Linked DNA regions of Neurospora crassa OR74A. The protein of the gene in region 2 binds, or shares a complex with, the protein of the main gene of each other region. Links are inferred from orthologs where the notes say so. Each region holds a gene or a part of one and is shown on either strand. Other genes may lie near its edges.

Region 1 (3,172 bases), on a different chromosome or scaffold from region 2:
AACAAAGCCCCGGCAACTCTCAAAGGACAGTTAGGGTTGCACATCGATGTCTCTAATAGGACTGTAGTGCTCTTCCGTGATGCCCCGGACAAAACCTACGAGGAACGCACTCGGCTTGTCGGAAAGCTCACTGCGCTTTGGCGTGAACAAGAGGCATTTGCCATCCTCAAGAGCTGGCGAAACGAGCTGTGGCCAGTTTATGGTCGCAACAAGGAGCTCGTGTTCAGCATAGAGCGGGCAGCTATGGGCCTCTTTGGAACCACACGCTACGGCGTGCATATGAACGCCTTCATCAGACGTCAGGATGCCAGCAGCAAGTATGACTTGAGAATCTGGGTTCCCAAGCGGTCCGCGACCAAATCGACCTATCCGAGCATGTTGGACAACGCGGTAGCGGGTGGCTTGATGACCAACGAAGACCCCTTCGAATGCGTCATCCGTGAGGCGGACGAAGAGGCTTCACTGTCCGAGCATATCGTGAGGAACAACGCCAAAGAGGTCTGCACCATCACTTATATCTACATCACGGACGAGCGCGCGGGAGGCGAGGCGGGGTTGATCTACCCGGAATGCCAATGGATTTATGATCTAGAGCTACCTGCGGATGGAAGTGTCGTCCCCGAGCCAAAAGACGGCGAGGTCGAGAGCTTCAGCTTGTGCACAGTGGAGGAGATCCAGAAACAGCTCGCCCAGGGAATGTGGAAGCCGAACTGTGCCGTCGTCATGCTCGATTTCTTCGTTCGGCACGGCATTTACACGCCTGAAAACGAGCCGCATTACGACGCATTTCGTGACCGGGCTCATCGACACATCGCCTTTCCCGGTCCTCATCAGGCCTGAATCCATCGAGCACCTTCCGCAGGGCACTAGCTCTTCCAAAGGCAGATGGACAGCCCTTGGCTCGGTAGCGGCATAAATACAGGTACTTGCTTTCCGGGTATCGTTGATTCATTACTTTCCCCAGACCCCTTTTCCCTAGGATATGCCTTTTCTGGTCCACGCATAACCTTAAACGCCCGTTCGCCCTCCAAAGATCCAATGAATGTTGCTCGCGCCCTAGACTCTTGATCGGTCTGATGCTATTTAGCCGCTGGAAACATTTGCTTTTTTTCAATTTTTTATTCTCCGGAAATTTCAGCTCTCAAGCGTTCCTGTTGGCGAGGAGGTAGACGTAGTCGACACGCAGGGGCGTGAGCTTCTTGTAGGGACCATCGAGGGCCATCAGAAGACCACCGTAGGACATATACGCCTTGCTAAATTTCGCAACCGAACCAGTCAGCCACTCATTTTCCCCGAATTCCAAGGTCGAGATACTCCTGCCCAATTCCCAGGCAACAACTTACATGGTCTGGCCATCCTTTCCATCCTCAAACTTGTAGACCTTGCCATGGCAGACATACTCATAGCTGTCGGCCAGGGTCTGCTCAACGCTACCGAGCTTGGCAGCATCGCGCCAACCCCTCTCGTCGTCCTTGCTACCGTCGAGGGACAAGGAAGTAGCCAATGCAATTCTAAGGTACTCGCCGACCTTGACAGGGAAGAGCTCCTTGTTGACATCGAGCTGCATGCTGGTCTGGCCATCGACGGAGGTGCAGTACAGACGGTCGACGCGGTCGTACTTGGGATCGCTGATTCTCTCGACCTTGAACTCGTCCTCGAAGAGTTGGGCGTCGGACGTGAGGGCGGACATTGTGAATGCTGGTGTGGAATCGATGAAACAGTCGATGTTGGATATTGATTGCTCGGAAGGATACTAGTGTCAGATTTTGGTCGAGTATCAAACGCGTGTCGATAGGTGGGTAAAACGAATTGTCGCGAGCGGTAGTAATGATGGTGTTTGGGGAAACTTTTGGAGATGCGACTGAGCGATGGAGATGCCGCCATGCAGTTGCCGTCCCAAAAAATTCCAGCCTTGCGGCAATTGGACCAGGATGCCGGGGCAAGTAGTGGGGCAACCACCATTGAAAATCCCTGTCACGCCCGTCCAGTGTGTGACAAAAGTACAGCGGGGCTCTCAGGCACTCCAGTGACGTCCAAGCTTCCATGGAATTTCTTCCAGGGATCGAATCGACTATATTTGGACTTGAAGAATACATACCTCAACATCATCAAGTTTGGATTCGATACTCAAATAAGGACTGCAACTTGCCGACTGAACTATGTCCTTCGTCAAAAGAAACACCGTCCTATCCTCACCGAGAGCCGGACTCACGCCGTCCGCTCCCCAGCAGCAGCAACCCAAACAGGAAACGCAGCTTGCGCCGGGTCTTCGACCATCACCAACTGATGGCAGGTTGACCACTTCAACTGGCACTGCTTCCCTGGACCAACTTCTTGCAGGACACGGTGGACTCCCCTTAGGAACATGCTTACTGGTTGAGGAGCAAGGGACCACCGACTTCTCTGGAATTCTTCTACGGTACTATGCTGCCGAGGGTCTCGTCCAAGGGCATCAGGTTCACGCAGTAGCCTTTCCGCCAGAATGGAGGCATCAGCTTCCAGGGCTGGCTTCACCTGACAAGAAGTCAAAGAGTGCATCACCGGCGCCGGCACCCGAAGAGAAGATGAAGATTGCGTGGAGATATGAGTCCTTGGGTAACAACGCCAATGCAGGAGCTTCTGCTCGTGGGGATTCTGGAGCGCCTTTCTGTCACTCCTTTGATCTCAGCAAGAGGCTTGCCAGCTCCGAGTCCAAGGGTACTCTGAACCCGATTTCAGTTGGCGGTTCCCCGAGCTTAGACCGGAAAAGTGTTGGGACAGCTTCTCCTCTGAAGATGCTTCTCAAGCAATTGCGGGCCAAGTTGGAGAGCTCAGGATCAAACGCCATTCATAGACTGGTGGTGCCCAGTCTCCTCTCACCAACCCTCTATCCTCCTGGATGCGCCCAACCATCAGAGGTTCTACAGTTTCTACATGGGCTCCGGGCTCTCCTTCGACTGTACAGCACCCAGCTCACAGCAATCATTACCTTCCCGACGTCCTTATTCCCTCGCAGTTCAGGCCTGGTCCGGTGGATAGAAATTCTTTGTGACGGCGTCGTCGAGCTCATCCCCTTGCCTGCCAGGCTAGGTGCCGCGCCACCGCCGCCCTCAAGGTCGGATCCCAAGGCAAACGAGCAACCCCAGGGTATGTTCAAAGTATACACACTGCCTGTGTATCATGAGAAGGGTGG
Region 2 (4,035 bases):
AGCCATAGTGACAAAAGGCACAAGACAGTGAGTGACAGGCAGACAGCCGTCAATGTTCAAGGCTGGACACTCTAACCCTCACTTCTGCCCTGTGGAAGATTCAGTACAAGAGAGAAGATCGATTTACATTCTGAGCACTCAAATGTACGATAGCCAGGTGATAGCTATGGTAGACGCTGAGATATGGAATGTCTTGAATGCTCATTGAGACCATGGTAGAGAAAGCGAACGCACAAGTGCAGCGCCCCCGTGTTTAACCTTGATGTGAAATCTCCTCGCCTTTTTTTTTCAATTGCTCCTCTTTCGGATCTTGCCCCACTGCTGGGTTGGGTTCCAGGTCGATTCAAGCAAGGTAGCACCCTGCTGGAGCTGGCCTAGGAAAAGATGGGTACCTACCTACACTATGCTGTAAGACACGGCCAACGGTGATGCGACTCTTTGACGTTTGTATAGTCAGCCAGAAGCATAACCCTTCTCTGATTCTTGAAGCCTGAGCAGGTCACAGCACTTGGGAATAACATCAACCTCCGTTGTATGCGATTAGCAATTCAAAGGCTGCCATATCAACGAACAAAGACCGAAGAAGACCATCAACATGATAACAGGTAGGAGAGAAATAGTGAACGACCCGGCAGGTGATTTCATAACCAGAAGCTCTCCCCTGTTGACTGGTGTGTCGATCGAAGGCCCGGCTTCCGCTTGGCGCGGCTAGATTCAGCAGAACGGATACATAGCTATCTTGAGGTTACCTAGCTGGCCTGACCCCGCTACAAATTGTTCAAATCGCTGTGCTAGTTGAAGTTGGATAGGTAAATACAACCTACCACCAGGAGGCAGATGTGTCGGAGTTGCACAGAGGCGGGGGTTCCTTATCACGAACATCAAAGTGACGGTCCGGAGTCAAAGCAAAAGGAAAGGTTTCAAAGGTACCCGACAGGTGGAGGGCACGGCCAAAAGTGGAACAAGGAACCTACATAGGTATATGTAACTGTCAATCAGGGGTCCAAAACGTGGGCGCTAACAATTTTGGCCTCGGCATACCAGTTAGGTACCACTGCAGTCACTAGCAGTCACCGGTCACCGCACCACAACACTACCTCTAGTGTAGTGCACTACACACACTAACAGTCAAGCACAGACCACTCCCGCCCCGTCGTCCCCCACCGCCCCAGCCGCGGCTTACCTCTACTGACCTAACAAGAAATGGCAGCGGCCAGCCCGTAGAAAAAGTTTATCGCAACTAATCCTTATCAATTTGCCGCGGGGCCAAAAATCACATCGAAATCTACCTACACAACTGCAAGGCGTATCTTCTCAACCAAACACACATTCCCGGTCGTTCCGCGCCCATCATCGCCATCCTCCATTCCTCCGGCCCGATCGATACGACGAACCGTCACCCGCAGTTAGCACATGCAAGGATGGCGGCTCTCGACGATGGCTTTGAGGCCCTGCTGGAGCCGTTCTACAATGGCAAGAAGCTGACCGATCCCATCTCGACCACGCAGGACAAGTTCCATCTTGTCCCGGCCTTCCTCAAGGTCAAGGGCCTCGTCAAGCAACACATCGACTCGTACAACTACTTCGTCAACGAGGAAATCAAGGACATCGTTAGGGCCAACCGCGTCGTCCGCAGCGACCAGGACCCCAACTTTTGGCTCGAGTTCAGAGACATCCGCGTCGGCATGCCCACCCGCACCGAAGATGGCGAACAAGTCCAGTCTCGAAACCCCGTCACCCCCATGGAGTGCCGTCTCCGCGACCTCACCTATGCCGCCCCCGTCGAGGTCGACATCGCCTACACCCGCGACAAGAACGTTATCGTCCGCAAGAACATCCCGCTATGCCGCATTCCCGTCATGCTCAAGAGCGCAAAGTGCTACCTCAACGGCGCCACCAATGCCCAGATGGAGGTCTTCAACGAGTGCCCTCTCGATCCTGGTGGCTACTTCGTTATTGGCGGAACCGAAAAGGTCATCTTGATTCAGGAACAGCTTAGCAAGAACCGTATCATTGTCGAGGCCGACGAGAAGACCGGCGGAGTCATGGCCTCGGTTACCAGTTCCACACACGAGAGAAAGTCAAAGACTTACGTCGTACTCAAGAAGGACCGGATTGTCCTGCAGCACAACACCCTCTCCGAGCCCATTCCCATCGTCATCGTTCTCAAGGCCTTCGGTGGTCTTTCCGACAACGACATCATCGAGCTGGTTTGCGGTGGCGATGCGCGCTACCAGGACGATTTCCTCATCAACTTCGATGAAGCCGGAAGAGCTGGTGTCTACACACAACAACAAGCGTTGGAATACGTTGGTGCTAGAGTCAAGATGGGCGGTAACAGACCCAAATTCGGTGCCGCTCCTCGAAGAAACCATGCTGAAGAAGGTCTCGACGCACTTGCGAACTTAGTTATCGCGCACGTTACTGTTGAGGGTCTCGACTTCTATCCCAAGGCCGTCTACATTGCCATGATGGTTCGCCGCGTGCTGATGGCAGCTCAGAATCCCAAGCTCGTCGATGACAGAGATTTCGTCGGCAACAAGAGATTGGAATTGGCTGGACAGTTGATCTCCCTTCTATTTGAAGACTTGTTCAAAAAGTTCATTTCAGACGTCAAGTACAACATTGACAACTTTTTCAAGAAACCCAACCGTACCTCTACGTATGATCCCCATGGTGCGATCATGGCTAACGGCCATTATATCTCTCACGGTCTTAACCGCGCCATTCAGAGCGGCAACTGGACGGTCAAGCGTTTCAACATGAACAGAGCCGGTATCACCCACGTGCTCAGCCGACTCAGTTATATCGCTGCGCTGGGTATGATGACGCGTATCAGCTCACAGTTCGAAAAAACAAGAAAGGTTTCCGGTCCAAGAGCCCTACAGCCCTCACAGTGGGGTATGCTCTGCACCTCTGATACACCTGAAGGTGAAGCCTGTGGTCTGGTAAAGAATTTGGCACTCATGACACACATTACCACGAATGTGCCGGAGGAACCAGTTAAGAAGATGATTTTTGCTGCTGATGAGAGCGTGGGACCGATCCGAGAATACACCGGAACAGAGATGCACAGCAAAGGCTCGTATATCATCCATTTGAACGGTACACCATTTGCTGTGACCAGGGAGCCAAAGCGGTTTGCCGCCAGGTTCAGAACTTTGCGTCGCCGGGGCTGGGTCTCTCCTTTTGTGAGCATCCACATCAACGAGCACTTCTCGGCGGTTCATATCGCTACCGATGAAGGACGTATTTGCCGCCCGTACATCATCGTCAAGAACGGCAAATCCATGTTGAAGGCAGAGCACCTGAAGATGCTTCAACTCGGGCAAGCGACATTCGACACTTTCCTGACCAGCGGCGTGGTTGAGTATCTCGATGTCAACGAAGAGAACGATACCCTTGTGGCGCTTCAGGAGGATCAGATCACCAACAGCACTACGCACATGGAAATTGAGCCGTTCACGATTCTCGGAGCAGTCGCTGGTCTAATTCCCTTTCCCCATCACAACCAGTCTCCCCGTAATACTTACCAGTGCGCCATGGGTAAACAAGCCATTGGTGCTATTGCCTACAATCAGTTCAACAGAATCGATACCCTTCTTTATACCCTTGTTTATCCCCAACGACCAATGGTCATTACGAAGACGATTCAACTTATCCACTACGACAAGCTCCCGGCAGGACAGAACGCCACCGTCGTTGTCATGTCTTACTCTGGCTACGATATCGAAGATGCGCTTGTTCTGAACAAGGCTTCTCTAGATCGTGGATTCGGCCGCTGCCAAGTGTTCCGCAAGTATACCGCCGAATTGCAAGGCTATACGAATGGGCGCCGCGACAGGGTTGGCGGTATCATGAAGGACGAAGACGACAAGCCCATTGTTAAGCACGCCATCCTCGACGCCGATGGCCTGGCCCAGGTGGGCTCAAAGGTTGAATCCGGACAAACGATGATCAAGAAGGAGACCCCGTTGGACCAGATCTCTACTGGAATCGCTGGCGATCGTGGGTCAGACGATTACCGTGACGCAT

Evidence for each region.
Region 1: NCU01772 (region 2) and NCU08030 share a complex: the UniProt entries of both Saccharomyces cerevisiae proteins name them as parts of the RNA polymerase III (Pol III) complex. The link is inferred for Neurospora crassa OR74A from reciprocal best matches to the Saccharomyces cerevisiae genes RET1 and RPB8.

The regions. Positions count from the first base shown.
Region 1 is NC_026504.1:3,966,361-3,969,532, forward strand, and holds NCU08030 (UDP-glucose 4-epimerase Gal10), read right to left. Parts: upstream 1,852-3,172; 5' UTR 1,691-1,851; coding exon 1,344-1,690; exon of another isoform or gene 1,254-1,343; coding exon 1,142-1,253; 3' UTR 841-1,141; downstream 1-840. Other genes in the region: NCU08029 (thiamine pyrophosphokinase), read left to right, coding at 1-840; NCU08031 (paxneb protein superfamily), read left to right, coding at 2,160-3,172. UniProt on the Saccharomyces cerevisiae protein: DNA-dependent RNA polymerases catalyze the transcription. of DNA into RNA using the four ribonucleoside triphosphates as substrates.
Region 2 is NC_026502.1:2,490,040-2,494,074, forward strand, and holds the start of NCU01772 (DNA-directed RNA polymerase III polypeptide), read left to right. Parts: upstream 1-1,235; 5' UTR 1,236-1,421; coding exon 1,422-4,035. UniProt on the Saccharomyces cerevisiae protein: DNA-dependent RNA polymerase catalyzes the transcription of DNA into RNA using the four ribonucleoside triphosphates as substrates. Second largest core component of RNA polymerase III which synthesizes small RNAs, such as 5S rRNA and tRNAs.